Linked DNA regions of Diceros bicornis minor. The protein of the gene in region 2 binds, or shares a complex with, the protein of the main gene of each other region. Links are inferred from orthologs where the notes say so. Each region holds a gene or a part of one and is shown on either strand. Other genes may lie near its edges.

Region 1 (15,942 bases), on a different chromosome or scaffold from region 2:
TAAAATACTGTAAGCATTGTCAGTGGAAGGCAAAGATGTCCAGTATAACATCATATTGGCAGGGGGGGAGAACATACAATTAGTCAAGAGAAAGAAATAAAAGGTATAAGTATTAGAAAAGAAGAGGCAAATTCACCTCTTATTATATCAGCAATTATATAATTGTATACCTAGAAAAAAGCAAAAGAGTGATGGCTAACATTTCAACAAGTGTAAGCACTTAATAGTGCTGACTGTTCCAAGCATTATGCTAAACACATTACAGCTTTACTTCATTAAATCTTCATAGTCTGCTAGAGTGAAAGCCTCCATGGGCACAGGGGCCCTTGTCCATCGTGTTCACCACTGTGATCCCAGTGCCTGGGAGAACGTCGGGCACATGGCAGATGCTTGTCCACCACTGCAACCCAAAGCCCAGGACGGCGTCAGGAGAGGACATAGTAGGTGCTCAATAAAGATTGACTGAATAAATACAAGACCAATCCAACAAGGAAGGTATTATTATGAGTCCATTTCACAGATGAGAAATTAAGGCTCTGAAACACTACATAACTAACCAGGGATGACAAGCTCAAATCTGCATTTGAACCTAGATTGTCTGTCTCGGCTTATGCTCTTATCCACTATTCTGTATTTCTTGCCCCCAAAAACTATTAGAAATGATAAAGCGTCTGGTTACAATATTAACACATAAAAACCAATACCTTTTAGGTATATGAATGTTAACCAGTCAGAAATATAATAAGAAAGATCCCATTTAAAATCATAAAAAATAAATAAATAAAGCACTTAACGCATTAATGTAGAACTCTATTAAGCTTTTGAGAAAAAAACTGAAGGACATAAAAGAAAACTTGAATAAATAGAAAAACATACAGGGATCAGCCCTGTGGCTTAGTGGTTAAGTGCGTGCGCTCCACTACTGGCAGCCCGGGTTCGAATCCCGGGCGCGCACCGACGCACCACTTGTCCGGACATGCTGAGGCAGCATCCCACATACAGCAACTAGAAGGATGTGCAACTATGACATACAACTATCTACTGGGGCTTTGGGGAGAAAAAGGGAAAAAGAGGAGGAGGATTGGCAATAGATGTTAGCTTAGGGCCGGTCTTCCTCAGCAAAAAGAGGAGGATTGGCATGGATATTAGCTCAGGGCGGATCTTCCTCACAAAGAAAATAAAGAAAGAAAGAAAGAAAAACATATTTTTTTTAGAGACAAAGAATCAATAGTATAAAGACATTAATTTTCCCTAAAATATCATTTTTATACTATCCCAATTAAAATATCTACAGAATTCTCTTTAACATGATTAAATGTTACTAAAATTCTTCTTGAAAAATAAACGTAAGATCTACCAGTGAAATTCTGAAAAATAAGAATAATGAAAGAGAACCAACCCTACAAGTTATGAAAGCATATTATAAAACTATAGTAATTAAACGAGATTGTTACCGGGCCGGCCCCGTGGCTTAGCAGTTAAGTGCGTGCGCTCCGCTGCTGGCGGCCTGGGTTCGGATCCCGGGCACGCACAGACGCACCGCTTCTCCGGCCATGCTGAGGCCGCGTCCCACGTACAGCAACTAGAAGGATGTACAGCTATGACATGCAACTATCTACTGGGGCTTTGGGAGGAAAATAAATAAATAAATAAAATCTTAAAAAAAAAATAAAATAAAAAGATGTTCTTTTAAAAAAAAAAAACAACGAGATTGTTACCAAATAAATAATAAACTGATGAATGAAACAGAATAAAGAGATCCAAAACACACATGGGAATTGAATAAATAATAAAGGTGGTATTTCACACCAGTGGGAAAATTTTAATAATAAAATAAAGTCTGGGGTTTTTTTAATATGTTAAATTGGGGAAAACTTTTTTTTTAAAAGATTTTATTTATTTATTTTTTCCCCCCAAAAGCCCCAGTAGATAGTTTTATGTCATAGCTGCACATCCTTCTAGTTGCTGTATGTGGGACGCGGCCTCAGCATGGCCGGAGAAGCGGTGCACGCCCGGGATCCAAACCCGGGCCGCCAGCATCAGAGGGCGCGCACTTAACCGCTAAGCCACAGGGCCGGCCCGGGAAAACTTTTCTAAGCATGGCATAAAACACAGAAGCCATTCAGGAAAAGCTAAATAGATTTGACTACACAAAAATTTTTTGTATTCTGTATGGCAAAAAATACCAAAAACGAAGTCAAGAGACAAAGGGCAAATTAGGAAAAAATATTTGCAACACACATAATAGACAAAGGCTAATTTCTTTACTCTAGGAAGAGCTATAATAAATCAATATGAAAAAGAAAAACTCTTTGATAAAAGAAATAAAGAAGCAGTTCACAGAAAAAGCAGTATACGTGTCCACCAAAAATATTTTTTAGGGGCCAGCCCAGTGGCATTGTGGTTAAGTTCATGAGCTCCACTTTGGTGGCCCTGGGTTCGCAAGTTTGGATCCCAGGCGCGGACCTATGCACTGCTTATCAAGCCATGCTGTGGCAGGCATCCCACGTATAAAGTAGAGGAAGATGGGCACAGATGTTAGCCCGGGGCCAATCTTCCTCAGCAAAAAAAGAGGGATTGGCAACAGACGTTAGCTCAGGGCTAATCTTCCTCACCAAAAAAATATATATTTTTTTTTAATATTCTATTTCACTCAGAAGTAAAGAAATGTAAATCAAATAAGATACTATTTTCACATATTAGATTGGCAAAAATTAAAAACTTGGTAAGAACCAGTTTGGGCAAGGACATGGGAAACAGGCATTCGTATGCACTGTTGGTGGCCATGAAAACTGGTACAATTTTGCTGGGAGGCAAATCAGTAATAACTATAAAAATTAAGAACAAACATGCTGGGGCAAGCCCGGAAGCACAGCGGTTGAGTTCCCGTGCTCCGCTTCAGCGGCCCACAGGTCTCGGGTTCGGATCCAGGGTGTGGACCAACGCACTGTTTGTCAAGCCATGCTGTGGTGGCGTCCCATATAGAGTAGAGGAAGATGGGCATGGATGTTAGCCCGGGGCCAATCTTTCTCAGCAAAAAAAGAGGAGGATTGGCATTGGATGTTAGCTCAGGGCTAATCTTCCTCACAAAAAAAAAAAAAAAAGAAGAACAAACAAGCCTTTTGACCTAATATTTCTACTGCTAGACATTTCCCCTATGTTGATATTTTCCCTTAAGTATTTAAAGATATATAAAGAAGGATGTTTGCAAAAGGGAAAAAAATGGACACAAGAGAAATGTCTATCAACAGAGGATTGGTTACATAATTTGGGTTAACATACATAATGGAATACAGTGCATCATTTTTTAAAAATGGGAAAATATCCTATATGCACTGTTACATTGTTAAAAAACTATTTGTAGCACAGTAGGTAAGATGCAATTATTTACTCACTCACTCAACAATTTTTATTTTTTACTTTTTTACCATCTACTCACTCATTCAATATTTTACCGAACATCTACTAGGAGTCAGACACTGCTCTAGGTGCTGGAGATAAAACAGTGAGCAGGTTCCTTTTCCCATGGGACTTACATTCTTAGTAATACACAAGTACATAATGGAGGTCAAGTTGTGATGGAAGTGTTCTGAAAGAAAATAAAGCAGGGTAAAGGACTAGAACACAAGGGAGGTGACCTTTGTATTCAGTGGTGAGGGAAGGCCATGCTGTGGATTTGCCATTTGAGCAGAAATGTGAGTTACTTGAGGCATAGGCCTAGCAAATACCTGGGGGATGAGCATTCTGGACCTGGGCAGGAAAAGTGGAGACAGTAAGTATAAATAACTCTCATTGCTTTTGAGGAGTTTTGCTATAAAGGGGAGCAGAGATGGAAGGCATAGCTGGAAGGAGTTGTAGGGTAAAGGGAGGTTTTCTTTTTTTTTTTAAGATAGAAGACATTACAGCATATTTGTAAACTGATCAGAACAATCTAGTAGGGAGGGAAAATTTGACGATGCAAGAGAGAGAGGAAAGATTTGAAAGAGTAGTCTTTTTTTTTTTTTTTTTTTACCTGTAAGGAAGATCAGCCCCAAGCTAACATCCATCCCAATCCTTCTCTTTTTGCTGAGGAAGACTGGCCCTGGGCTAACATCTGTGCCCATCTTCCTCCACCATTATATGGGACGCCGCCACAGCATGGCCTGACAAGCGGTGCATCGGTGCGCACCCGGGATCCGGGCCAGGGCCAGGGCCGCCAGCAGCAGAGCGCGAGCACTGAACTGCTACACCACGAGGCCAGCCCTGAAAGAGTAAAGTCTTTAAGTAGGTGAGAAGGAATGGGATCCAGGGTATGAGAGGAGGGGCTGGCCTTAGGAGCAGAGACACATCATTCATGTGACGGGAAGGAAGGCAGGGTATGTGCTGACTGGTTGGTAGGTTTAGGTGGAGGGAGCACATAGAAGTTTCCTGATTGTTCTTATTTTCTCAGTGAGAAAATTTCTCAGTGAGACAGAGAAGTGGAAAGAGGGACTGGAGTCTGAGGAGAAAGGAAAAGGTGTGAAATAATCATCTGAAAGAGCTAGCAACCGAATCAGCTAGGAAAATGCAGCAGAATTGCGAGGCATTGCCAAGCGTCCCCTTGGGGTTTGTGGTTATATATTTAAAGTGAGACAAGTCAACATGGCAAGTCAGCATTTTTCTCCAGCCAGATTCAGCTATAGGAGTGCAGAAGCAGAAGGGTGAATTTAACCAGCAAGTTCATGGAGGTGAAATGTTGGATTTAACCTGGGTTGGGATTTCACCTAACAAATAGGACAGAGAGGGCCAGCCCCGTGGCTTAGCGGTTAAGTGCGCGCGCTCCGCTGCTGGCGGCCCGGGTTCGGATCCCGGGCGCGCACCGACGCACCGCTTCTCAGGCCATGCTGAGGCCGCGTCCCACGTACAGCAACTAGAAGGATTTGCATCTATGACATACAGCTATCTACTGGGGCTTTGGGGGAAAAAAAATAAATAAATAAAACATTGAAAAAAAAAAACAAATAGGACAGAGAGAAACAGAATCAAGGAAGCTGAGGGTGTGACTACATGATGACCCTTAGAACCCAGCTGAGGGGCTAGCCCCGTGGCTTAGCGGTTAAGCGCACGTGCTCCGCTACTGGCAGCCCGGGTTCGGATCCTGGGCGTGCACCGACACACCACTTCTCCGGCCACGCTGCAGCCACATCCCACATACAGCAACTAGAAGGATGTGCAACTATGACAATCAACTATCTACTGGGACTTTGGGGAAAAAAAGGAGGAGGATTGGCAATAGATGTTAGCGCAGAGCCAGTCTTCCTCAGCAAAAAGAGGAGGATTAGCATGGATGTTAGCTCAGGGCTGATCTTCCTCCCAAAAAAAAAAAAAGAACCCAGCTGCGTAAGAAGGGAAATAAGGACATGAGGGATGATGATGGAGGATGAAAAAGTGGTCAAGAGACTGACGGTCCCAGTGGAGTCAAGGAAATGCTGAAGTGGAGGAACTAGATAGAGGAATAGAACTGAAATGACAGGAGGTAGTAGACACAGACAGGGAAGCTTGAAATCGCAATTTTGGAGGTGGTGCGTTATTTTGGTAATGACAAGATCTAAAGCATGAAGAGAGGAGTAGGATGCTGAGATGCAAGTGGATAGAATCTTTGGAAGTGAGGAGTTCAAGAAATTGAAAGGCCAGGGTGTTGAATGAGTTGTCTGTGTGGATACTGACGAAAACAACAGTAGCAGTGATGAGAAGAAAAACATTAAGCCATGGGCCAGCCCCCATGGCCTAGTGGTTAAGTTCAGCACACTCTGCTACAGCAGCCCCAGGCACGGACCTACACCACTCATCTGTCAGTGGCCACGCTGTGGCAGCAGCTCACATACAAAAAGAGGAAGATTGGCAGTGGATGTTAGTTCAGGGTGACTCTTCCTCAGCAAAAAAAAAAAAAAACAAAAAACAGTAAGCCAGGAGCTGAAGAGCTATAAGGAATGCAACAAGAAAGGTGGCAGGCGGCATACTAGCTTCCAAGAAGCTGGGCATCTTAGGAAGAAGAAACTAAGATCTGGGAGCAGCAATGAAAAGCAAAGAGGCTACTTCCTGAATTTCCAAGCCCAGAGAGAGCTGGATTTGGAAGAAAAACAAGTCACTATTTGACAAGGCTACAGGGAATTCTGTACCTTCAGCGAGAAGAGGAAGGGAAAAGTCCGAGAAGTCTAAGGATGCAGTGGACTTTTCAGATGATCAACTATGAGCTTCAGAGATTCATTTGTGTTTTTCTTTTTTTTTTTTTTGAGGAAGATCAGCCCTGAGCTAACATCCATGCCAATCCTCCTCTTTTTGGTGAGGAAGATGGGCCTGGGCTAACATCCGTGCCCATCTTCCTCCACTTTATATGGGACGCCGCCACAGCATGGCCTGACAAGCAGTGCATCGGTGCGCGCCCGGGATCCGAACCGGAGCTGCCAGCAACGGACCACGCACACTTAACCGACAGGCCACGGGGCGGGCCCCTCTGTTTTTCTTTAAATCCATGTTCACACATTTTTATTTGCCTGTGAATTTTCAGAAAGGATGTAAAAGAAACTGTTAACAGCCTCGGATGATGTGCCAACCCAGAGTGAATGCAATTTAAATCCCTACTCCAGGGCCGTCCTGATGGCATAGCGGTTAAGTGCGCTGTGCGCTCTCCTGCGGCGGCCCGGGATTCAGATCCTGGGCGCACACCGACGCACTGCTTGTTAAGCCATGCTGTGGCGGTGTCCCATATAAAGTAGAGGAAGACCGGCACAGATGTTAGCCCAGGGCCAGTCTTCTTCAACAAAAAGAGGAGGATTGGCAGAGGTTAGCTCTGGGTTGATCTTCCTCACAAAAAAAAATCCCTACTCCATCCTGTGAGTAGGAGAAAAGGAATGACCTTGTCAGGCGCATTATTGAGGGGATTCCCAGAGGGGGTGGGAAGTAATCACAGATTACTTACATCTCCCTCATACCCTGAGATTCTATGACTCTATGAATTTGGCTGCATTTTATTTTTGACAAACCCCTTCCCATAGCTGGGCCTTAGTTTCCATATATAAGAAGTGAGGAGTTTGGACCATGTTTTCTCTTGACCTCCTTCTGATGTTCTATGAATCTCCTGAAAGCCAGCTCTGGGTCCAGTCCTGTGTTGCGGAAATGAGACCAGAGAGGCACAGAGCAGACACAAGAACCCAACAGCATTGTCTGATGGAAGCACAAAGCTCAACAACACACTCACTCACACAAACACAGTGTTACCTCGTTACACACACACACACCCCCGGCAAAAACACCCAGAACCATTTACGAATAGTCACACACATCCATCTCCACAACACACCTGTGCTCACATTATCGTGCCCAGCAATACCATCTCACATACACAGTGTCCCACAGCCACTGTCTCCCAAAATCTCAGGCCCAGAGACCCCCACTTACCTTGAGCAGGTGAGGCAACTGCTGAGTGACCAGTTCCTTAAACTCATTGATGCTGAGACTGCCCTTCCGGCCCTCCCGCCCTGCAAAGGTGAAGAAGGTGGTGACCACTGTCTCGATGGCCGCCTCCAGCTCAGTCAGTGGCTCAGCTGCCATTAGGACCCCGGGGCTGGAGCTGATGTCCTCACAGGGCTGACCTGAAGGAGGGGAAAGGAGAGAGAGAGAGAGTCAGGATAGGCCAGAGTGCCCCTGCCCTGGCATTGCCACCTCAGGCCTCTGCCTGGAGGAGGCATTAGGGGAAGGAGGGAGGGGACAAGGATGGAGCTTGGGGCAGGGAACCAGGCAACAGTACCTCAGTGCACCCAGGTATTCACTTCCAGAAACCCCTTCCTGTCTAGGTCTCACTGTCTGGGGGTCCTTTTGAAGTGTTTGTGTCTTAGGGACCCTTCTGTGGTGGCCTCTCAGTGGAGACTCCTCTGTCTGGCAGGAGGCCAGGGTCCCCCTTTGGAGTCTTCTCAGTCTCCTGGCCCCTCTGTGTAGTTCAGTCCCAAGGGCCCTTTCTTGGAGTCTCACCCAGCCTCAAAGGGTCATGAGGTTGTTTGTCTCCAAAGCTTGTTTGTGTAGGGACCTGGGTCTCCACCCGCCGGCACTCCACCCGCCCACACACGTTCTGGCCGCTCTTCCCAGCAGAGAAGCCCAGGGTCTGGCCACTGCCCAGCTGCGGTCAGGGTTGGCTCAGTCTTGACAGCCCCGGCCTCTGCTGCCCGCCCCCATCTCCCTCAGGGGCAGCTGGGCAGAGAGCCGAGCCCAGGACCCTACAGACCCTCCCACCCCTATTTCCCGGCGACACGGGTCCTGGATGGGACTCGGCTGACTGCCCGCGCCCAGTAAGGGCTTGGTACCGCCCCTCACAGCCCTGGGGGCGGGGACGGCTGGAGGAAGGGGACACGCCCCCTCATCCCTCCCTTTCCCACCCCCCCGCCCCCACCTCTGGACTTGATCTCCCAAAGCCACTTCCTGAATCCCTGTCTGAGCGGGCTCCGGGAGAGGGACGCGGGAGACCAGGGAGAAAAAAGGCTCCGCAGGCCCCTCCAGGGTTAGGGGGATGCGACTCACCGGGGCAAGGAGCCGGGGTGCACGCGAGCAGGAGCCGTAGGGCTGAGGTTTATAAGCCCCTCGGGCGGGAGGAGACAGCCGCTCCCAAGCCCGGAGGTGTCGCGTTTCCGTGGTTGATTCTGAAGAGAGCAGACCGCCCAATCACGCTTCTCGCCACCACCACCCCCCTCACCCCACCCCAGCAATCAGGCCTTGAACCCTGGCCCCCCAACCCGGCCCACGCGCGCCCCCACTTGGTGGAGGGGCGGCCCTGCCTGGAGCTGCCCGGAGCTGCCTGGACAGATCCCACTCAGCTGGTGTCCTAGGGTCCCATCCCTTCTCGTACAGGGAGCCTGCTGCCCCACCACACCTGCGTCTAATCGGGAGTGTGTCTGTTGCCGGGAGGGGGGCGACTGCAGATGGAAAGAACCAACTGAGGGAGCGCAGCACTGAGAGCAATCCAAGAAACACCACACAGGACCCCTCAGAATGAGATCCCGCAAAGGACCCTGCAGCCCAAGACCCCCTCAGAGGATCCCAGGCTCTGACTCCACAAACAGAGGGGGATCCAGGCTGAGACCCCAGTAGAGGAGACCTTGGATTGAAATACCTCAGTGGGGTCTCAGACTGAAACTCCTCAGGGAGACTCCCAAGACTAAATTATTCAGAGAGGACCCCTCACTAAGACCCCTCAGCGGGCTCCTCCTGTTCCCTGCCTAGCAGCCACAGCCAGTACCGCAGGGGGTGGCAGGCAGGCCTCTCAGTGTCCCTCCCAGGACTTTTCCCACCTCCCTTCCTCCTGGGCCCTGCCTGTTGAGGCCCAGCAGTGGGGGAAGGCAACAGAGGCTAAAGAAGAGGACACAGGGCAGCCTGTTCCAGCCCAGGAGACAGAGGGCGCCTCTGTCCTCTCCTGGCCCCTTGCCCCACTGGGTGTCCGTCTGTGAAGGGGTGGAGCCGGTGGGGAGGGGGGGTCAGTGGGGGAAGGCAGGCTGAAGACAGGTCTCCCCACACAGCTCCGGGAGCCACATTTGCAGCTTCAGCTGTCTGTCCAGAACCTGCTCCCACCTCAGGCCCAGGCTGACAGTGAGTATTCTGCCCCATCCTGCCCTGGCCAGCTTGGGGGAAAGGGGACTTCAGCGGGGCTCCAAGAGTCTGGGGACAATGGCATCGTGGTGCACTGAGGGACTGGAAAGTATGCTGGTGACTGCGGTTTGGGATTTGAGGGAGACAGGGTTTGGAGGGTGATGAAGGCAGGCAAGTGAAGGTCAGAGGGAGATCTGGGAGCTCAGTGAATAAGGAAGCCATTGGGGAACCCAGCCACCAAGCTTCCAGGAGACCAGGCCCTTCTACCACAGAGCCCTCAAGTGTCCTCCCAAGGTTCCCTCAATCTCCCTGAGGCTGGCAGGGGACCCAGCCCTCGCCTCACTTCCAGTGGGGTAAGAATAAGAAAGCAGATGGAACAGCTGCTTCTGCCCACCCCTGCTTCAGCCTCGGTCTCTCTGCCACCCCCACCCAGCCTTGCCAAGAGCTCAGGTTCCAGGGAAGTCTGGGGGGGGAGGGCAGAGCATGGACCGTGTGATATCAGGAAGAGGGGGCACTAGGATACTGTACCCAACCCCAACCCTCCCTTCACGTGAGTCCCCTTTCTCCTCCTCCTCTTCCTTGGCCCAGACCTCCAGATTCTTCTTCCCCTCAATTCTTTCCTCTTTGCTTTCCCATCTGTCCCCTCCCTGCCCAAGTCCTTTCAGAATGGCCCCTACACAAAATCCCAGGCTGCTCAAGGGCTCCAGGCAACCTTGAGGTGCCCATCCTGGATGGGGCCGATAACTTAGCCACCAGCACCCCTCCTTCACATACCCCCCTTATCCCCGCCATCAGCCCAGCTTGGGTTCCATCTCCCCCATGTCTCTGTGACAACTGCTTCTCATATCCGGAGTTCAGGTGACACTCACAAGGGCCCCATTGAAGAGCTGGGATGTCATCTGATCAGGGCCCATTGTCCAGCCCATCAGGCCTGGGGAAGGATGGGGACACCTGATCTGAGACACCTGAGCTGCCCCCTGAGACCATGGAGGGGCTGATTGTCCCAAGGCCAAGGCAAAGAGGCCCCTGCTTGGCAGTCCCTCCTCCTCAACAGACCCTTCCATTTTTCTCTTCTCTCGCAGCCCCTTGAACTCAGAGGACCCGTGCACTCAGCCCTTTATCTCCCTCAATACATTTTAGCCCATTCTCCCTGCTGCCACTGTCCCCACATCAATTAGGTCAGGCTGGGGGTGGGAGTGGCCAGCAGCAGGGACAAGTCCCACAGGATTCCTCTCCCCCTTCCTGGGAGCCCTGACTCCAGGGAAAAGGCTCAGACATTCCTCTCTCCCTTCCCACCACCACCCGATGGAAGGGCTGATTCTGCAGAGAAGTAAAAGGAACAAAACTAGAAGTAGTAGAGGTGAACCCCAGGGAAGCCAACGTAACATGTTCAGGAGAGAACAGACTTGAAGGACCAAAAGAGGCCCCCAGTCTGCTGACACGAAGTTCAGAGGCAGTGAGACCCGCCCCACCCCCGTCCTCATGAAACCTGGGGCCAGACACTCAGGCTGCCACCCTCTCCATCAGGCTGACCGAGGGCACCAGACTGACTCCTTGCTAGGGATGGGCAAAAGAGACAAGGCTATAAAGGGGAGCCCAGCCATCACTGCCAACAGCAGAGCTTGGCTGTGCTAGGCAGGCAAGGTCCAGCATAATAACAGAGCCAGAGGAAGCCTGGCCAGGTCCTGTGACCACCCCCGCCTGCCTGCCCCACCCTCCTCAGTGTCTGCCCAGGCAGCCAAGAGCCACTGCAGACTCCTCTGCAGGCCTCCAGAGCCAGCCCATCTCCAGCTGCTCTACCTCCATGCCCCAAACCCTGACTCCCTCTTGCTGGGGTATGGATTGAGGGACACAGAATACAGGTCTGGATTTAGGTCTGTTGGGTTCTCCCACATCGTAAAATCTCAGTGAAGGATAAATTTCAGTGGAGCTCTGATCTCATGGCTATTCGAGCTATGGGACCAGGGCCATGGCTAAGGGCTCCCCTCTACTGGACCACAGATACCCTGAGCTTGGTCCTCAGCTCACTTCCATGGTGGGGGTGGGTAGGTGAGCTGCGCAATGGGCTCTGAGCTGGAGACGGCGATGGAGACTCTCATCAATGTGTTCCACGCCCACTCGGGCAAGGAGGGGGACAAGTACAAGCTGAGCAAGAAGGAGCTGAAAGAGCTGCTGCAGACCGAGCTCTCTGGCTTCCTGGACGTGAGCACAGAGTGGGGGTATGGGGTGGAATGGGCAAGGGGTGGGGGAACAGAGTGGGCACCTCTCTGCCATCTCCCCACCCCACCCCAGCTCAGACCAACCATCTCCTTCCTCTCCCAGGCTTCTCTCCTGGGTTTTTCCAGGCTCCCCTAAGTCAAAATGCCGATTTATTGGTCACCTGTTAAAAGTGCTAGACTCTATGTAGATGCATCGATAACAAGGCTCACAGTCTAGAAGGGAAAGACTGACACTTGGAAGTAAACCATGAACACCAGGAAGTGACATATTCAGGAAAGAACAGAGTTGAAGGACCAAAAGAGGCCCCCAGTCTGCTGACAGGAAGCTCAGAGGCAGTGAGACCTTCCTCCCTCTGAAGCCTTGGGCCAGCCACTCAGGAAGTACGCAAAGCCTGAACAGAAGTGCCAGAAAGGCTTATGGGAGAATATTAACCTGACTAAAGTAGGACAGCTTCTCCAAAGAGGTGGCACTTGAGCTATGGATTTCCATCGCAAGGTTATTAAGGTAAATGTAGGTATTTTAGGAGGAAGTAACTGCATGAACAAAAGCATAGGAGAAAGAAGAATATGCAGCATGCTATATATAGTAAAGGAGAAGCCAATAGAAAGTGTACCAGCTTTGAGGTTTTATTAGACGTGGGTTCAAATTCTGGCCCTGCCACTTTCTAGCTGTGTGACTTTGGGCACATCATTTAACCACCAACTGTCAATTTGTTTCTTCTCTAGAATGGGAATAATGAAACCTACTTCATACTATTTGTGTTAGAATTAAATTAGACAATGCTTGTAAAGCTCCTAGTGTAGTGCTTGTGGCATTGTAGGCACTCAACATACGGTACTTGACGTTGTTATTGTTACTCTGCCTTGTTAAGGAGCTTATTCTGTAGGCAACAGGAGGCCACATGTGTTTTGTTAGTTTTGAGGAGGGGAGCAGAAGAGTCCCATAATTAGTCCCTCTTGTTCATCTCTGCCTCCTTCTCCCCAATCAGCCACCTCCCTTGCCCCTGACTCAGTGCTATTCATCTCCCTATACACCTACCTCTCCATCTCTTCCCTCCACAGGCCCAGAAGGATACGGATGCCGTGGACAAGGTGATGAAGGAGCTAGACGAGAATGGAGATGGGGAGGTGGACTTCCAGGAGTATGTGGTGCTGGTGGCTGCCCTCACAGTGGCCTGTAACAACTTCTTCTGGGAGAACAGTTGAGCAGACAGCCCCAGTGGGCAGCGCCCTTCCCCTCCACCCTGCCATACCTGCCCCTTTGCCCTGCTTCCCCCTCACCCCACTTTCCCCTCCCCACACTCCCACCCTTGCCCCTCCTCCAACAAGGGCGCAAGAGTAGTGGGCCAGGCCTGCAACTCATGTTTCATTAAAGGCTCCTCTCTCACCAGCTGCTGTCTGTCTCCTATGGGGTCTGCAAGTGAGTGGGGAAGTGAAGGCTGCTCAATCCCAGCTTGCCTTATTGGGGGGGGGGGGTCTTATTTGGAGAGAGATCAAGGGACCATTACACCTTCCTACTTGAGGAATGCTCATGGCCCAGGAAGGTAGGGGTTCAAAGTTCCAGCTGGAAGTACAGGAGATGTCAGCTTCTCAGCTATAAGACAGAAAAAGAAAGAATTTCCCTTTAACCTTGAAAGAATAGTTCCTGAGGACCTACCATGTACTAGACATTGTGTAGGAACTGGGGATACAGCAGTGAACAAAACGCGACCATTACCCTCACCTAGGTAAAGTAAGGTGGAAGGATGCTAGACCATTAAACACACACAGGAAAATGCTAGGAAAGAAAATGAAAGGATCCTGAAGTGCCTGTATGGGGGGGAGGAAGGGTCGAAGATGTGCTGATTTACTCATTCTTCAAACATTTGAGCATTTTATTGTGCACCCAGGCATAAGAAAAATCCTGTATAGGTCTGCATCAAAATTCAGCATGGATGGCAGATGGGGAGGGAGGACATGCAAGGGGATGCAGGCACACAAAGGTCCCCCCCAAATAAGGATTTAACAATATTCAGGCCAACTTGGGGAGGGAAGTGAAGAGGAAAATACGGAGGGCGTGTGGTGACTGGCACAGGCTCCAGTAGACGTGTGCTCCCAGCACCGGCCCCAGGCTGTGGCTGGGCCGTTTATGACACTCCACAACTCTGAACAGGGCGAATGATGACGAGAGGAGAGCCAGCGCTCATTACTCGGCCCGGTGGTAAGGAAGAGACCGAGGAAAGCCCCGCGTAAAGAATTTTAGACGGTCTGCCTTGGCTTGGGGAACCGGAAAGAGAGTGAAGAAACACGTAAACCTTTTTCATCAGGACCAAATCCGCTCTGAGCCGCCCAGATCTCGAACAACCCTGCCTCGAAAGCGAACCCTTCGCAAGACCCAAGGGCAGGCCATTGGCCACGCCCCTTTGTGGGCGGGGCACGGGGTGTACCTCAGACAGGGCCTTTGCTAAAGCCCCGCCTTCTCACTAGGGCTCCGCCCCCATCTCTGCGCAGGCGTAGCACAAATCTTCCCGCTCCCTAGTCGTGTGCGGACCGGACGCCTGACGTAATTGCGTCGGCGCCATTTTAGCCGGTCCCACTCCGCACTGGGCGTGGCGGCCATTTTGTTTTGGACAACGAGCGGGAGTTGGCGGCAGCGGCTGTGGTGGCACCGACGAAAGGCAGGCAAGGGCAGGCCGGGCGAGCAGACGGACCGGCCGACCAGACAGCCAGCCAGCAACAACGAACTAACTTAGCAGTCTACCGCTTACACACCTGACCAACCGCCCACAAGTGAAGCCGAGCCCCTCCACCGTCTGCTCAGGTTCGGCCGGCCCCCGGCCCGCCCGCCGCAGCCGTGGTGGCAGCCCCGGGAGGAGCACTGGCGTCTGTTTCCTTCGGTACGTGTTTGTGGTGAGAAGGAGGGGAGAAGTCTTGGGGAGCGGAAGGGGCCGGCGGACGCGGCACGGAAGGCGACGGCATGTGGAAGCAGATAGGGTGTCGGAGTGCGGGGGCCCGGGGAGGGGGCGGAGCCCCTGCGCGGAGGCGGGGGAGCGCCCGCGCTGGAGACTGGTGGCGGGGCTGAGGGAAAAGGTTGGCGTTTGATAGGGCTGGGAAGGAAGATGGAGCAAACTTGGCCGTGTTGACAGGGCTTTGAGATGGCAGGGAGATGAAATGAGGACAACAGGATTCAGGGAAGGTTGGGAAGTAATGGGGGCGGTAGGGTTACATTTTATAGAGCGCGCTCTGGGAGCTAACTCCCAGGTGAATGCCCCTTTAGGAAACCTTTCCTACTCCCTCCCCCGGGTCCCTAGTCCCTTGCTAAGGCCCTACTTGGGAGTCGAAAGCCAGGTTGAAACTAGTTATGCCTGTATCATCTTTCTAGACGAGTGGTTCTCAATTTGGCTGCACGTGAGAAGCGCCTAGGAATTCCGCTTTTTTTTTTTCTTTCCAGTTGCTGATCCGCAGACCTCACCACCAGAGACTGTGGTTTAATTGGTTTGAGGCCAGGCTTCTGTATTTTGTGTGTGTGTGTGTGTGTGTGTGGAAGATCAGCCCTGAGCTGAGCTAACATCTGTGCTAATCCTCCTCTTTTTGCTGAGGAAGACCGGCTCTGAGCTAACATCTATTGCCAATCCTTCTCCTTTTATTTTCCCCAAAGCCTCAGTGCATAGTTGTATGTCATAGTTGCACATCCTTCTAGTTGCTGTATGTGTGGGACATGGCCTCAGCGTGGCCGGAAAAGCGGTGCGTGGGGATCCGAACCCCGGGCTGCTGGTAGTGGAGCGCACGCACTTAACCGCTAAGCCACGGGTGGCCCTGTATCTTTTTTTTAAAGCTCCTTGCAGGCAGGGTTGAGAAGCACTGCTCTAGATTAAAAGCCAAACTCTTATACTTCCTTTAGCTAGGTCTAAGGCTGCCATTTTGGAGGCTTTGGCACATATTTTCTGTCCTGTGGCCTTGAAGTTTGTTAGTTTGCGGTAACTGTCTTATAAATTTAAGCACCCAAAATGAGTTCGAGTGTGATCTTCAGTAGTCATTGATACAAGCCTTTTCATTCATTGTGAGTGTGGGCCTTTGGCCCTAGCAGAAATGAGGTGGTTGTTATTCTGATTTGCTCTTTGTGCCCATTGTCCTTTTGTAGATTCTCGGGATT
Region 2 (16,361 bases):
ATTGAGGGCTTAAAAAAACCTAAAACACACACACGTACACATACAGACACGCGCGTGCCCACACACACACACACCTTCCTAGGCAAATCAGCAGCTGAATCCTTTCAATGCGATTTTTGACAATTGTGATCTCTTTAGACTGTACTCTTCTTGTGAGTATGTATAGAATCTAACAATACTTTCATGGGAAAATAAAATTCAAATTCCAACTTGAGATGCTTCTTCTTTACTATTTTTAGTTTAAAACAACTAAATACCTTTTGAGGTTTCCTTAGGGTTTTCAATGTCAACAAGAATTTTATTTCCCAAACCTATTCCTCTTCTAGTTTTTCCTATCTCAGTAGAGTTTCTCCTCTTCCTCTTGTTGGTTCTCTCTCCAAAATATAACCAGATATAACCAGATCCTGTCTACTTCTTTCCACCTGTCTCACCACTCCCCACCTTCTAATTGTTATAACCTTCTAATTGGGCTCTCTGCTTTTTCTATTACCTTCCTTCTGATCTATTCTCCATTTTAGAAAATATAAGTAAAGTCAGGACACTTCCTTGTTTGAAGCCCTTTAATGGCTTTTCATTGTATCTCAAATGAAATCCAAATGCAAGGCTATCTGCAAACACTTGCTTCTGCTTATCTTTCCTCCTTCTCAAGAGTGCCCCAGCTCCTAGAGTGTTCCTTCTGATCTTTGAAGCTGGAGCTCTTGAAGCTCTAGGGCTGAGTGTACTTAGATCCCTCTATTTAGGATGCCCACACCACTCACCCCCTTGCATGGCATGCTCCCTCCTATCAGCAGCTCTCATCTCACAGGGAGCTCTGCTCTTGCCACTATATCTAAAGAGCACTCTCCCATTTTTCTCTATCTCAGCACCCTGTTCATTTGCTTTACAGCATCTTGCACTTTTTGCTGGTTGTTTGGCTTATCTATTGTCTGTATCCCCCAGAAGACTAAGTTCTATAAGGCTAGAGATTTTGGCTAACCACTGTCTACATAGCTGTTGGCACTATGCTTAAAAAATAGAAGGCTCTCAATAAATAACGCTTGTTGAATGAATTCATGAATGAAGGTACTGCCCTACTCTGTAGACATTACATCACTTTCCTCTACTTGATCCAGGTAGAGAAGCACATGCATCCACATAAATCCTAGTTGCAAGTGGGGAGGTTTGGATTATACATTTACTGAATAAGAGTCACCTATTTATCAGTGGTGAAAACATCTAAGGTTGCAGTGGTCGTGTGTATGTGTATCTGTATGTTTGAGGGGGAAGGTGGTGGTGAAGATGGGGCTGAGATGAGCGATAATACTTGTACCAATGAAGAGAGAGAGAGGCACTGGAGTCAGAAGGCCGGGGTTTGAGTCTTGGCTGCCAGCTTTTTGCCTGGTGCTGTTTGGCAGATGATGAATTCTCTCTGACCTCAGCTGACCAAGTTTCTTGGAGGCAGGCCCCATGGTCCTAATGCCTACTATCAGGTCAGATTATAGATGTCAGTAAAGATCGGAGATAGATGGAATAAGTGGATGCCCTGGGATGGGAGGTGAATAGGATCAGGCAGGGAAAGGAAAAGGAAAGAGGAAGGCAATTTACCTTTTATTCACTCTTGCTACCTCCATTTTACTCTCTCACAGATCCTGGCTAGAACTGCCTCTGGGGATAGGTGAGAAGTAGGATGGGGGGCAGGTGGGCAGGTGGGGACTGTGGTAGGAAGAGAAGAGAACTGTGCCACCCTGCTAGGGATGTCTGCCTATTGGGATCATTTACAAACATGTGGGATGTAAATGAAGCTGAGCTGGAGACTGAAGACAACTGACCTTTAGCAGTACGGGTTCGTCTTCATTTTGGGCACTCACAAACAGTTGAGTTTTTGAGATTCTTAGAGTCACGGGAAATTGAGAATCCTCTTCTGATGTATAAGCACCCATGTCAAATTTCACTGGCGAAGAGAAAAGCCAAAAAGAAAGTAAATCCATGGTATTTGTATAAAATCAAGTGTTTATGTAGCTACTGTGTGTGTGTGTGTGTGTGTGTGTGTGTGTGTATGTGTTTGTATAGTTAGGTCCCCAACTGTGGTGTAAGTACCTGGAGATTAGGAATGAAATTTTATACATCTTTGTGTCCTTCACAATGTCTGCCATATTTACTAGGCAGGTAATTACTTGGTTAATGTCTTTAGAATTTTCTGTGTTGAATGAATGATTGGGGGCTGAATATTTGTTGAATTTCTTGTAATTACATTAGTGAGATAAGACCCTGCAATTTGTGAGGTCATTAGTAAAATGGAGGGGTTTAGGGAAGCTGATACACTCATATGTTGCTAATGATACTGAAAAGTAGTTCAGTTTTCCTTAGAGAACAATGCTTAATAAAAGCTGTAAAGTTATTTATGCCTAGTAACCCAGGAGTTCCACTTTTGGGATATGCTCCAAAGAAATAACCTCCTAAGGAAAAAAATAATATATATAAACACATTTGCAACAAGGTTACTTAGAGCAAACCCAAAAGCATAGTAACATGATTGAATATTCTAGTGTCATTAAAAAAGCCTTATTTACAATAGCCAAGATATGGAAACAATCTAAGTGTCCATCAATGGATGAATAAAGAAAACATGGTATATATATGCAATGGAATATTATTCAGCCACAAGAAAGAAGGAAGTCCTGCGGTTTGCGACAACACAGATGGACTTTGAGGGCATTAGACTACGTGAAATAAGGCAGATGCAGAAAGACAAATACCATTTACTTTATGCTGCACCTAGTGCTCTCAAAGATAGGACACTTCTCTCTTGTGGAGCTCCTAGATTTGGCTGAAGCCCCTGTCCTTGCCTGATATTTTTACCAGAGGTGATGTGCTTCATCCTATTCTAGAAGAATAGTGCAAAGCCAAGAATCTAGAGAGGTTTATTCTTTGAAAGCAGAAAGTTTAAAAGAAATACAGAAATAAAAGGAAGGGAGGGTGACAGAGATGTCCCTTTACCTGCATCGTCCAGATTATTTAATGCAGCAGCCATGAGGTATTGACCCGATATATCTCGAATTATACTTTGATTGAGGGTGTCATTCAGGATGAATTGGTGGTTGATGATCCTCATAAAGCGGTATTTCACATTGCTCTGGAAGTTGTAAGCTACCGATTGGGGCTTGATGATCTCTAAAACCGTTATCACAAGCTCAGGTTAGTTTCTAGGTACAAACACAGGTGATATATCTGCTCTAATGCAACATAGAAAGTAGCTATGGAAGGGACATTAAGAATATTCCAATCTAGGTGAGGAAACTGAGAGAAGTGAAATCATCCAATCAGCAGTAGAATTGGTTCTAGGATTATCCCTGTGGTTATTTATTTGTTTTTTTAATAAACTTTGACTCCTCAGGCAATAGTTTTATTTTTTTAAGAGATTATTTGTGCAGCATTCTCATTTTTGGTTGTTTGGAGGTTTCTAAGTAACCAGGAAGACTCCTAGTATTCCTCATCTATATTTTTGAATGAATGCACTCTGAGAAAAAAAATGAATCCATTAAGAATTATGTATGTCACTGAGGGTGCAGGTCTAAATGTCTACCACCTTTCTGAACAGTGGTATGTATCAATATCTTCCCAAATCCTTGTGGCTCTGAGTAATTCTACATCTAGGAATCTATTCTAAGGAAATAAATGGTGATACAAATGAAGATTTATTGATATGAGTGTTCATTGTCATATTATTTATAATCATGAAAAATTGGCACTCTAAAATGCCCTTTATATATTGCTAAGTGAAAAAAGCTATATATAAAACTGTATATAGTATGACCCACATAATGTTAAAAAAATTTGTTCATGAGTGTGTATATATAGAAAAGACTTTAAGGAAAGTATAATAGTGCTGGCAGTGGTAAACTCTTGAGTGGTAGTGTGAGTGATTTTTATTTTCCCTTTTATGTTTTCTTGTATTTTGCCAATTTTCCAGGTGAACACGTATTAGTCTTTAGCTGTTATCTTAACAATATTGGATTTATGTTTCATGTAGAGGCTTGTAAAATGAAGGCGTGGGAGAAAAGTCATGATTTCTGTAGTCAGCAGGAACTGAATTTGGTTTGAGTCTCTACCACTTACACACTATGTGACTTTGGGCAGGTTACTATCTCACTGAACTTAGCTTCCTCATATATAAAATGAGAATGTAGGGTTGTTGTGAAGGTGAGAGATAATGCAGCCATTGATAAATGAGTAGTGTTGGCAGTATTAACAAAGATAGTAGTAGTAATAGTAATAATAACAACAATAATAACTAACATTTATTGGATATTTACTATGTGCCAGGCATTATTCTAGCCCAGAAGCTTGCGGCTATTAACTCATTTAATCTTCATGACAAGTAGGGGCTCTGATTATCTCCGTTTTATAGTAGAGGAAACTGAAGCACAGCAAGGTTAAGTAAGTTGCTCAAAGAGGCACAGTTAGTGTGTGGAGGAACATAGCATGTAAGTGGTCATCCACTCATAGTATATAACTACTTTCTGCCAAAAGGCTAAAAGTTACAAGACCTTTACAATATAGCCACGAAATGAGCATGTGAACAAGTATTCTAGACTCAGGCCACTGCTGCTCTCGTCCTGCTGGAAAGGATAGAAATCCATTTTCCTTCCTTATAGTTACCAGAGTAATACCTGGTTGCCATCTTGTTGCTCTCATTCTAGGTTTTATTTTCTCATATACTCTATTGTCCCCATTTGTTTAAAAATGGAAAACAAGGATATTATTGCATTTGACCCCTTACCTTCTTCTGGATCATTGGCAATGGCTTCCAGGTCACCATCAGTGAGGAAATGATTTAGACTCAACCGTCTCTTCTTCAGAGTCTTCCCGTTGGCTGCCACCAGCACCACACTCTCCTTGAAGATCAGCTTGGATGTCTTAGAGGTTTCAGAGGTACTCAGAGACAATTTATCCATGCAGTCCTCATGAAGTGGGTCATAGCTTGCATCATAGAAGGATTTCTGTGAAGAAGGAAAATGGAAACTGAGAGGCTGTCCGTGGCCATAGAATGAGATTCCTTTCAGTAGGAGTTTTTTCCAACAGACTTAATGAGAAGGATCTCCTTTTTGGTCTTGGGTAACCCAGGTTTCATCAGTCTTCCCTCTACCTCCCCTTCCTTTCAGGATTTTCCTGAAAGGATGTGATCTCTTGGTCATCCATTGGCAGACTCAAAAATGAGATGTGGTGTTTACAAGTGATCTTAGTGAGTGGAAGGCTACCGCCTTCCAGTTAGTTCCCCCTCAGGAGGTTAAACATCTACTTGACAGTGCTCAAATAATTTAGAAATACTCCTATGGGAACAGCTTTTAGAGCCAGTACTAAAAACACACAACGCAGTACTTATACTGCCTATTTTGTGGTCTCCTAGCAAAATAACACAGCTTGGTGAGTGGCTGCAGACTTCTCACTTTCAATTGGCGGGCTTCCTCCACCTCAGCTTCATGGGCTATTACATTTGGAGGGCTATCTCTAACCTGTGGTGCTGGTGTCAGAGTGGATGACCACAACATATCACTTTAGGAGACAGATCCCTAGTGAAGTGGCCTGAAGGGGCTGAGTCAGGATGGCATAACTAACATTCTGATGAAGTCTGATCCAGGAGACTCCAGTTCTTGGGGTTTCAGGATAGTTCTGCTCTGTTCTGGGAAAATCGGGTGAGCATGAAGAATGTCATCAACTGTTAGTGCAGAGAGGCAATTGGTCTCACTTATAATGAAGAAATGCACATCTCTGGATCTCTAGTGACGGTAAAACAAAAGCATCTAGGATTCAAGCCATTGCTGTTCTCTTCAGGTGGAAAAAATACTGTGTAAGAATGGCAGTCCCATAAGAATTATAGTCATTTGCTTACCTGATTCAGAGAGAGATGGTCAATTTCAGAACTATATTCTTCATTTTCACTGTCAAACAAGATGATGAGAATGTAATTCTGTTTGTTATATCACTACAGTCACTTGGCAACGTATTTTAAAGACCACGTTAGCTTTGGGTAACACACACACACGGCCATTATTGTCATCTTTGAAAATTAAGGACTTCTATACATACACATATATACAGTAAGTTGTACCTCATTAATTTGGAATTAGTAATTATCAGGATAGGTCTTGAATTTTACCTGTGCTTTATCTATAAAAACGTGGCTTGACTAACAAATTGAAGAGTTGTAATTGAATTTCAGGGAAAAATGTTAAGCTCCTCAAGAGAGAAGAAGTACTTTTGAAGCACCTCATTTTAATTTTAACCAAATAGATCATATGTTACACATTTCTTTCATGTATTCACTAAAACAGATTTAATAATTTATACTTGGCAAACTATCCAGGTAACATTTCAATAGCCTAGTTTGTGTTAGTGTATACTAATAGGTAATGGGAATGCCATGTTTGTTTAAAGTGTTCTATAATTTTAACTTTTTCTTCATTTACCTTTCTCCTATGTCTGAAGGAGGTTTGACTGTGAATGTGCATTTACATGCTCAAATTGTTGTGGAGCCATTTCCTATTCCAGATTGAGATCAAGGAGTTTTCCTGAGAATGGTTTCTCTCTCCGATAGTCCACTAAAGCCCATTACTCTCCATCACAGCATGTATCACTACAGAGAATGAACCCAACTGAGGCTGCGTCTAAGTAGATGTTGAAATTCACTAGGACTCAGCAGACCTTAAAAATAATTTTTCTAAAACGGCTGTCTCTGTGTCAATGTCATCTCAGTTTAACATGCTGGATGCTTAGTTCCCCTGGGTCTTGGCTGAACCTGCCCTGACTTCAGAGGTAGGACACATCTGTATAGCCTCTGCCAGTCTGGCCCCATGCCGGTCACTGTAACTCCTAGCTGGATTCTAATGTGCCTTGATCCCCTCATTAAATTACAAGAGATAGAATCTATTTCCTACCTGTAACAGTTGTTCAGGTCTTCAAAGAGGTCAGGGACTTTGGCCATCTTGACTTCTGCAACAGAGAACACCAGTGGCTGTCAGCCCAGCCAGCCTCTAAACCAGATGCCTGCAAGGGGAACCACCTCCGCTTTGTGCTTCTGGAGAAACTTGATGAATGACTTAGCCCACGCTCAGCATTTTCCCCATTCTTCTTTTCACTCCCTTCAATTATTCGCATATATAGATATCTGTCTCCTCTACTAGCTTGAAAACTTCTTTTAGAATCTTGGTATCCCTTATGTGCCCAACTCAATGCTCTACACATAGTAGGCATTCAATGAAAGTTTTAAAAAACTCCACAAAAATGCGGTATTTGCCTTACACAGATGCAAGAGAGAGACAGAGTTGGAAATTTCCAGTTTTCTCCTAATAGTTTTTGGTAGTAGAGATTCCCTCCAAGGGCAGGCTCGGCTGCACCCACCAATGCCCTCATATGAAACCAATTTCACTGTCCTCGCAGTTCCCCATCAGTAGAAAGAATCACTTTGTGAAATCTGACTGTGATTCTAACTCACACACCAAACCAAGGAGGGACAGGAAAGGAAGAAAGAGGCTTTAGCTTCAGAGAAGGCAGTTTGAGAGATAACAGCCAAGGAGAAAAACAAAAAATATTTTAAAAGCCGAAGACGTGATAAGGATGATACCTTTGCCGACTCAAGCGCCAATAAAATGACTCCGTCTGTGCCTGGAGACTTAACCCGAGTCAGGCTTCCACGCCTTTTATGTTTAGAGTAGGCGTGGCCACGAGTGCGTCATGGGGGATTTACAGGGAAAAATTCTGTTTTGTATTTTTTTATGTTCATTCAACCTTATACTGGCCAAAATAATCACAGATTATATACTTGATAATAGTGTTATTTGCAGAGATTCCAGTATTTTCTGTCTTGGCTCCTTTATTTATTGCTCTGCTCTAAACAATTATAAACATGTGGTCTTAGAAAAAGGGAAGAAGAGCAGGAAACTTATTAAGTTTCTAAAAATATGTGGTGAGAGAGGAAGGGAGAAGTCCTAAAATCAGAATTATGGATGGCTAGACTTGGAGAGGGGCTTAGGAGCTATAGTTTGTGTTTTGGCTTAATTTGTTTAGTGCACCCCAGAGCTGAGTATGAATTGATAGAATACTTGGCAGCCCCTGGCAGACAATACTTGGTGGCCCCTGAGGGAAGATGAGCCATCTTTTGTGAAGAGGGGGGTTTGCTTGAACAGGCATAAATCTCTCTGAGTATAGCGTGACAACCTCCTGGTTAGGGCAGGGTAGAGGAGAGAAAGGTAATATTCAACCGCAAAAGTCTTAATCCCCTTCTCCTCTGAATACTGTCAACCCATTCCCTACAGAGTGACAGAGCTTCAGGAGAGATCTCTCAGCCCTGGCCACGTTATAGCAAGGTGGCCCTGGTCTTCTCTAGGGTAAACCTGAGGTGTGTGAGGAAAGCTGCAGACTCAGGGAGGTATAGGCAAGGCACCAGCCGGAAGCCAGTGGCTGGATTCAAGAATGGAGATTGGGGGAAAGGAAGGGACTCTCATAAATGACACTGCATCAGTGTTGCCTGGCTGTTATCATCAAACACTTTTTCGGTACCTGAGGCTAGCCCAGTTCAGGTGGTAGAACACCAGACTCTTAGCAGATAACTGTTTCAGGCTTCCTGGTTGGAGTTTTAGCTGCATAAATTTTAAATAAAGAAAATGAATGGAAAAAGAGGGTAGAGGAGGGAAAAAACGGTAAAGAGAGAAAGACCAGGCACCACAACACAACATGGTATAAAAAAGCAAAAAATCTCAGAACTGGGAGTCAAGTGTGAGTTGGGTAAAGTATTCTTTCTGGTCTTGTTTAACTGTAAATAGTGGGGTTGGTTAGATGACCATTAACGTCTATCCTAGGTGCAAAATCTCTGGTTCTGATTCTATTGCCCGGTCCAATTCCTCCTGGCCCTAGACTTTGTGTTACAATAGTTATAAAAAAGAACCACAGAAATAACTGCCATCCTGGATATAGGCAGTGTAAATGGAGGACCAGATTAGGGCAGAGCTTGGGTGTCTCAGGGTGGATTCTTGTATGAACAGTGATGGTAGGCAATTCTCTGCATCTGTGGTTCCCCTTCAGGCAACACAGAAATGTTAATCCTGGTCACCCCCTCTGCCTCCCAGAGATCGTGTGAGAATTATTACCAACAAACAATTGCAAAGCACATTGTGAATGTGAGCTACTATGGAGATGCAACTAAACAAAAATAATAACAACACTAATGATGGCTTCTGTCACTTGGGAACCTATATAGTCATCATTGTAATGCCTTAGTTCACCAAAGAAAATATAGTTCTTATGAAAATATTGGTTTGAAAACTTCCACAGGGAGGATATTTTCAGGTGAAGGCCTCCATTGAAACCCTGAAGATATTTAGTTTCTGGGAGGAATATGTCGCGCCTCTTTGGTAATCCAGGAAAACACCCTTGGTTCCACCATTAGTGGCAACACCCATCCTGGCCTATGTCACTCCTCTGTTGTAGAGAATTCCCCAAATGTGGTTGGTTGAATTTCTCAAGGAGAGTTTGAATTTTTTCTAGACAGCGAACTCAGTTTGGGGTCTCACCTAAGATTTTTCTTCACATGACTTTCTTGGAAACTGGTTTTTAAAGGAAGAACAGCGTGGGTGAGGTTTAGAGAGTGAGAGATCTGTGCTTTGTTTTGGGGAGCCTACTTTTCTGTGAGTGTGAACCAAGGTTGCCTTGTATGTAAGCCTCATCACCAGACCACCTTTCTCTAGGGAACAGAGAGAGGAACATGCTAGGTAGAGTTCTACTGGATCCCCGAGGGTGTTTGGGGGCTGTCCTGTTTCAAGGACTTTGGGTGGCTTCTTGCACCTACCTCTTGACTCTGAGGAAGCCTCAAGAACTCTTCTATAGTCATTTTCACCTAAATCATTCAGAAAAAAATTGACTGTGCGCTTATTCTGTACCAGAGGTTTTGCTAGGCATCATTATTTTTCTGTCATGATTGACAAAATTAGTTATGCAAGATGAGATGATATATTTTAGTAGGTGAGTAGATATGCTTTATAAGCTTGAAGGTTGTGGGTCCAAAGAGTCAGAGTGATGTTTTTCATTTGAAAACTGTTTTATAGTTCACTAAGAGCTCTCACCTGCCCTGTCGCACTGGCTCCTCACTTTACCTACAAGAGGTAGTGATTGCTATCCCCTTTCGTAGCCGAGGACCCTTGAAGAGGTTAAGTGACCAAGTGATGGTCACAAAACTAGCAAAGCCAGCGCTTGAACTCAGGTTTCTGATTCCAAGTCCAATCTTCTCTTTCCACTGCATGTAGATACTCAAGTCTCTTATCACCACCAACACCAAGTGACAGGACTGAAATAGATCATCCTTAAAGGTCTTTCCTGCCTCAAACACGCTGTCATTCGGTGATTCTAGGATTCTTTGTTTAAAAAAAAAGATGGAAAAAGAAATGCTTTGAAACACCCACCCCCTCTTCTCCTCCAATGACATTTCATTTTATTCTGTGACACACAGGACAAGGGTGAAGGTGATCAACATAACTGAGTACATGGTCAGTAGTGGAGTCTGGATGTGGACTTTAGTCATGCTCTTGCCACTGTACCATGAAGAAAAGAAACATCTGTGAACATCTTTGGAACCAACTTTAAAATCATTGCATATAGTTGGATCTGACAGGATTGCTTGAGTGAAGAGAGAAACACAAGTCTTCACTGAGAATTTTCAGGGGATGCAGTTATTTCTTTTTAGGTGGTAGAAAGCATCTTCAGAGGAATAAAGTGTGCATAAACCATCACATGCAGAGACAATTGAGCCTTTTGTCTCAACCCAGGTGCTATTTAATTATATAATCTGCTTTTAAATTCCATGAAAGTTAGCGGGAAGGAGGAAAAGACCTAACATGTAAGTAGTCTTCCATGTTCCAGGTGTTATCTCACTTAATTATTAATCTCTCATTTAATTATTATCTCATTTAATCCTCTCATCAAACCTGTGAAGCAGGTATTCTTATCACATTTTACAGAAGAGGAAGTCAAGGCCCAGGGAGATTAAGCAATCTGTCCAAGATCGCAACGTCACCAAATTGCCAGAATGGGATTCAGACACCAGAGCCTAAGCTCACGAGGTCATCTCTTTTTCTTTTTTTTTTTTTTTTGGGGGGGGGAAGATCAGCCCTGAGCTAACATCCATGCCAATCCTCCTCTTTTTGCTGAGGAAGATTGGCCCTGGGCTAACATCTGTGCCCATCTTCCTTAACTTGATATGGGATGCCACCACAGCGTGGTCTGACAAGCAGTGCGTCGGTGCACACCCGGGATCCAAACCCGGGCCGCCAGCAGCAGAGTGCGCACACTTAACCGCTACGCGCCACGGGGCTGGCCCCATCTCTTTTTCTTAACTCTTCCTTTCCTTTACTCTTTTTAATTTCTAGTTTTTCTGCTTTGTCTTATTAGTCTATTGAAGGACCTAGAACGACACGTGGGAGAAGGATGCACTTCAGACACTATCTAGATTAAACTCTTCCCTCATAAAAGAGGAAGCAGACTCAGAGACGGGAAGTGCTAAGGTCCCAAGGTCACATGGAGAGTTCATATGAGAGTGGGAATGAAAATGAGAACTCACTCTTCCTTGATTCCTAGTTCAAATATCCTACTATCTAGTGGTACTGGCTCTTCAGTAACTAGGGGTAAGAGGAAGAAATAATCACTCCCATGGCTTCTTATCCATAAGTGAAAAAGGAGGTAAAAAGGATGCAACCCCATTCAGTGAGCAAAAACAGCTATGGTTGCTGCTGTCCTGGAAGCGGACAGTGAAGATGTTCATCAATAATCCCCTCAATGAGTAGATAAGTACTAACAACGTAAGTGTAGTGAAGGCGTCTAACAGAGAAGCTAGTCTTAAGACTGGGAGTGGGAAGTTCAATGGGGAGGGAAGAGGGAACATTCTAGGCTGAGCAAAGGCCATGGGGGTCAGATAAATGAAAGTAAGGCATTGAGGCTGGAGCCCAGAGAGGCTGGAACTGAGGGGGTGCGGAGATGAGGATGAGGAGAGAGGCAAGAGCCAGATGGACAGAGCCTTGTGTAGACCCCACTAAGGTCTTTATCCATTCAGTTTTGCGTAAACTTTGGGCAAGTGCTCTGGGAACTTGGAGAGCAGAGGGACGGCTTGGAGTGGATGGAGGAAGCCTGCAGCAGGAAGGGGCTGCTTCATGTTGAGCCAGCAAATCCCTGTTTAGCTGGGATCCCCTGTCTTCACCTTAGCTCTTTTTTCCCCTATTTATGTGCTTTTTTCTTTCTAAATTCCCTCTCCTCTTGAGATGGTGGTTAATAGGACTGTGCTGCCTCTTTGACTTTTTCCTTGGCTCTGTGCCCTTCTTTCTGTCTTTCTCAGACTTTAAAAATCAGAGTTCATCAGAGAGCTTCCTGTGTGGCAACAGTCATGTCTGTGCCCGTCTCTCACTTTTCTTCTTGCTGGCTAATTGTGATTCTCTAATCAGAAGTGCATTTTAAAGAAAGTCCTTTTCCTTTTGAGTCATTTTCCTCCTTGGAGTCATAGTTATCTGTGGTCTGAACTTGTTTCTCAATTTAAAAAATAACTTTGCATTACTTTTTTAGATTCTAAAATATGTTTATTAAATATTGCTAGGGAAATATAAAAAATATAAAGAAAAAATAAAACCCACAAACAATTAAATAACTAGAGGTATTCACTATTACTATTTTGGTGTATTTGCTTTTGGTCTTTCTTTTTTCAAGGTATATATAGATTTGTTTTTACACAAATGGGATACTCTAAGCATTTTGATATTTGCTTTCCTGGAATCTAGGGAACATATATGTGGTAGACCGGGCTCACTAGATATCCACTGGCTTATTTGTGGGATTACTTGATAAATATCTGTCTTCATTTCCTGGTCTCCCTTGCAGTTAGATTAGAAACACATGGTTTGTTCTGGCCAATGCACTGTGAACAGGAAGCGATACGTAATGTGTTACATTTCTAGGCTGATGCAATCAAGGGCTGGTGTGTGCCTCTGTCATCTCCAACTTCCTCTGATGCAATAAGTTTGGAAGTCACGTAGTCCAGATGGTGTGGGTACAAATGGATGAGGTGTGGCTGCAAAGGTACAAGGCGAGAACAATCTGTTTTAAACTTTGCATGAGTAAGAAACAGATCTTTAATTGTGTTAAGTCCTTGAGATCTCAAAGTTTATTACTGTGGTATAACCTAACCTATTCTGATTACTACTGTGTATGACTATTCTTCCCTTTTCTATCACAAACTTCAAGATGACATGCACTTTATCTCAAAATTCCTCTTTCACATAACTGATTCCTCTTTTGAAAGAATTGTTTCTAGATTAGTATTACTCTTGTCACATTCTCCACTCTCTGGGAGATGAATTTTCCAATAAGGCAAATTAAAAACCTAATAAGATGCCTTCATTTTGGCCAAATTCCAATTCCAAATATAAAGATATATTAGCTGTGACAATGGCAATAATAAAGTTGGTACTGTTGCGTTAACATCACGGATACAAATCATGTAATAATTAGACTAAAAATCTAACATTTATATGGTGCTTTATAGTTTTTCACAGCGTTATTTATAAACATCAATACAAGCATTCACTGTGATGTCAGGCTGACTTATTATGCATGCAAATAGTCGATAGCAAAGGTCCTATGCCCCTTTTCTCCTCCCTCATTTTGAAATGAACTGCTGGCTACTGGGGAGGATGGGCCCCTGATTAGAGCAATTGTGGCACAGGGCGGGGAGTGGCAGGTGTGGCATACAGTGTGGTTGGAGAGGCAAGAGAGTTGAATCTGGCTCTGACTTTAACCAGTTGTGTGACCTTTGGCAATTCCTGCACATCTCTGGGCTTTCCTTATCTATAAAGGGAGGAGGTTGGACTGGATGACTACTGGAGTTCTTCCGGCCCTGGCTGTCTGTTCTATATTTCATGACTACCCTGAACATGACCACGTTCTGCTTCATGGCACCTCTGTGCTCTTGAAATATATTTGGTTACATAGGGCCCACACTGGACTTATTCCTTACTATCCTTTTGTAGAATCTTTCTTTGTCACACATACAGTTGAGTCACAAATAGATACATGCTTTTTCATTACTTCAATGGCAAATTTAATTTGTCACTTAGAGTATAAATAGAAATAAGTTCCTTTTCTAGTACAGAAATATGTAACAGTTGCTAGTAAATTAGAAGGAAATAGCATTTTTACCCCATCTGTTCAGTGATGATGACTCAGTCTTGTTTTCTAGAAAGCTTGATATACATGAAGGACCATCTGGGCACTTTATTACCCTCAAGAAAAGGAAGTTTAGGTTTCTGAGTCTGAAAGGCTGGACATGTTTTAGAGTATTTTGATAAAAAAAAGAGAAACATCCTAGGAAAATTATGATCTTAACTTCGCCTTTTCTGCACTCTTACATCCATGGGGTCTTAACTGCTATTCTCAGTAGGTCATTATATCCTCTGCTGGGTTGCTCAAAGGCACTGTGGCTCCCTTTGGAGAGAAGGAGCAGACTGAGAGAGCCTGGACTCAGGAGGAGGACCCAGGGGCAGGGGGGAGCAGGTGTTCTTATAGAGCACAGTTCCACAAAATCTTCCTGAGGCCAGCTTGACAACCTCCTTCACAGTTCCATCGCGTGTAAGGCATTGTGTCAGAAGCCGTGGGGAAAGAGGTGGCAAAGAACTCCATTTGCCCTTAACAAGCTTAGAAGTTTTAGGGAAGACCTGTGCAGATGACTATAGTACAAGCAGAAGAAAGAAGTGTTGCAACAGAGACAGAAGCAGACAGATAGGAAGGGAGTGACTGAAGTGAATACAGAGAATTAGGGAAGATTTCATGGAGGCGGCGTTTTAGCTATATCTTGAAGAGTTAGATTTGAATAGTGGAGAACAGATATTCCAGGTTGAGGAAATAGGGCGAGTAAAGCCATAAGGCATAGCATTGCATGTCTGTGTCTCCTATTGTGTGGTCTTGGGCAAGTTACTTAACTTTTAGAGCTTTGGTTGCCTCATCTGTAAAACTAGGCTAATAATTCTTACTTCATAGGGTTTTGGAAGGATTAAATTAGATTGTGTTTGTGAGAGTGTTCAGTTTAGTGTTAGTTTCCTTTCTCATTTCCCCAAATGTCCAACATTCTTCCATTGCTATTTCTTTGCTCAGGCTGTGCCCCTTTTGGGGTTTATTCCCCTTCTCTATCCATGAAATTTAGACCTTTCTTTACTCTGCTAGTCCAGACCCCTCCTTGACATGGAATGGAAAGCAAAGATTTGCTGCAGGAAATGTGAAATGTGGCTAGCCAAAAGTCTGGTTATAGTTAAAGGAATTCTAAGTAGAATGCAAGCTTGTCTATAGTGGGCATAGTAGGCTGGAATAATTATTAAAGGTTATCAGTTCATGCATTCATTCATAGAAGATGGGGATCATGCTTGGAGCTGAGGACTGAGTAGTGATTAAGACAAACATGGTTCTGAACCTCATGGAGCATCTCTGCTAGCAGAAAAGCCATATCTTGCACATATGATCACAGTTGTGGTAGTTATTAAGAAAGGGTTAATAAGGGATGTTATGAGATCTGTGTGGGGGAAAGGAGAGAACCTAATCTAATCTGAAAGGTCATAGAGAGTGTCTCTAATAAGGCAACATAATGGATAGGAAGAGTAGGGTTTAGCCAGATGAAGGTGCAAGTCGATGTAGGGAAAGAGATTCATGTCTCAGGCAATGGGAGCAGCATGTGCATAGGCCCCGAAGCTAGAAGGACCGTGTTGTATTAGAGAAACTGAAAAAGGGCCAGTGTGGCAGAAGCCCAGAGAGTGAGGGGCAAAGTGACATGAGATGAGGCTGAAGAGATAGGCAGGGCCAGGTCATGGGCAGCCTTATAAACATGTTAAGAACATTATATTTATCATGAGGCAGTTTTGAGGTGTCTTAAGCAGGGGAGTGGCAAAATTAGGCTTATGTTTTTAAAAGATCTGTATGGATTTTAAAGGGGAGAGAGCAAATGTGGGAAGAAGGTTATTGAATCATCCAGGTGAGAGATGAGGATGGCTTGAAGTTGGGTATTGGCAGTGGAGACAGAGAGGAGGATGTATTTGAGTTATTAGAAGGTTGAATCATGGGCCAGCCCCGTGGCTTGGCAGTTGAGTGTGCGCGCTCCGCTACTGGCGGCCCGGGTTCAGATCCCGGCCGCGCACCGACACACCTCTTGTCTGGCCATGCTGGGGCCGCGTCCCACATGCAGCAGCTGGAAGGATGTGCAACTATGACATACAACTATCTACTGGGGCTTTGGGGGAAAAAATAAATAAATAAATAAAATTTAGAAGGTTGAATCAACACAACTTGGTGATTGGTTAGATGTGGGACAT

The links.
Region 1: the proteins of IL1A (region 2) and S100A13 are in contact, whole or in part, in an NMR structure (PDB 2L5X), measured with the Homo sapiens proteins. The link is inferred for Diceros bicornis minor from reciprocal best matches to the Homo sapiens genes IL1A and S100A13. Residues at the interface, in NP_000566.3 of Homo sapiens: Asn148, Gln150, Tyr151, Thr194, Ala195, Gln196, Asp197, Leu203, Leu204, Lys205, Glu206, Met207, Gly216, Ser217, Glu218, Thr219, Asn220, His239; in NP_001019381.1 of Homo sapiens: Met1, Arg25, Gln26, Glu27, Gly28, Arg29, Lys30, Asp31, Ser34, Asp68, Ser69, Glu70, Lys72, Phe73.

Annotation. Positions count from the first base shown.
Region 1 is NC_080743.1:57,850,704-57,866,645, forward strand, and holds the start of S100A13 (protein S100-A13), read right to left. Parts: upstream 8,647-15,942; 5' UTR 8,530-8,646; intron 8,301-8,529; exon of another isoform or gene 8,252-8,300; intron 8,161-8,251; exon of another isoform or gene 7,766-8,160; intron 7,611-7,765; 5' UTR 7,570-7,610; coding exon 7,417-7,569; intron 1-7,416. Other genes in the region: S100A1 (protein S100-A1), read left to right, coding at 11,653-11,793, 12,873-13,016. UniProt on the Homo sapiens protein: Plays a role in the export of proteins that lack a signal peptide and are secreted by an alternative pathway. Binds two calcium ions per subunit. Binds one copper ion. Binding of one copper ion does not interfere with calcium binding.
Region 2 is NC_080779.1:19,508,513-19,524,873, forward strand, and holds the start of IL1A (interleukin-1 alpha), read right to left. Parts: upstream 6,962-16,361; coding exon 6,915-6,961; intron 5,919-6,914; coding exon 5,870-5,918; intron 4,980-5,869; coding exon 4,760-4,979; intron 3,151-4,759; coding exon 2,977-3,150; intron 1,931-2,976; coding exon 1,809-1,930; intron 1-1,808. UniProt on the Homo sapiens protein: Cytokine constitutively present intracellularly in nearly all resting non-hematopoietic cells that plays an important role in inflammation and bridges the innate and adaptive immune systems.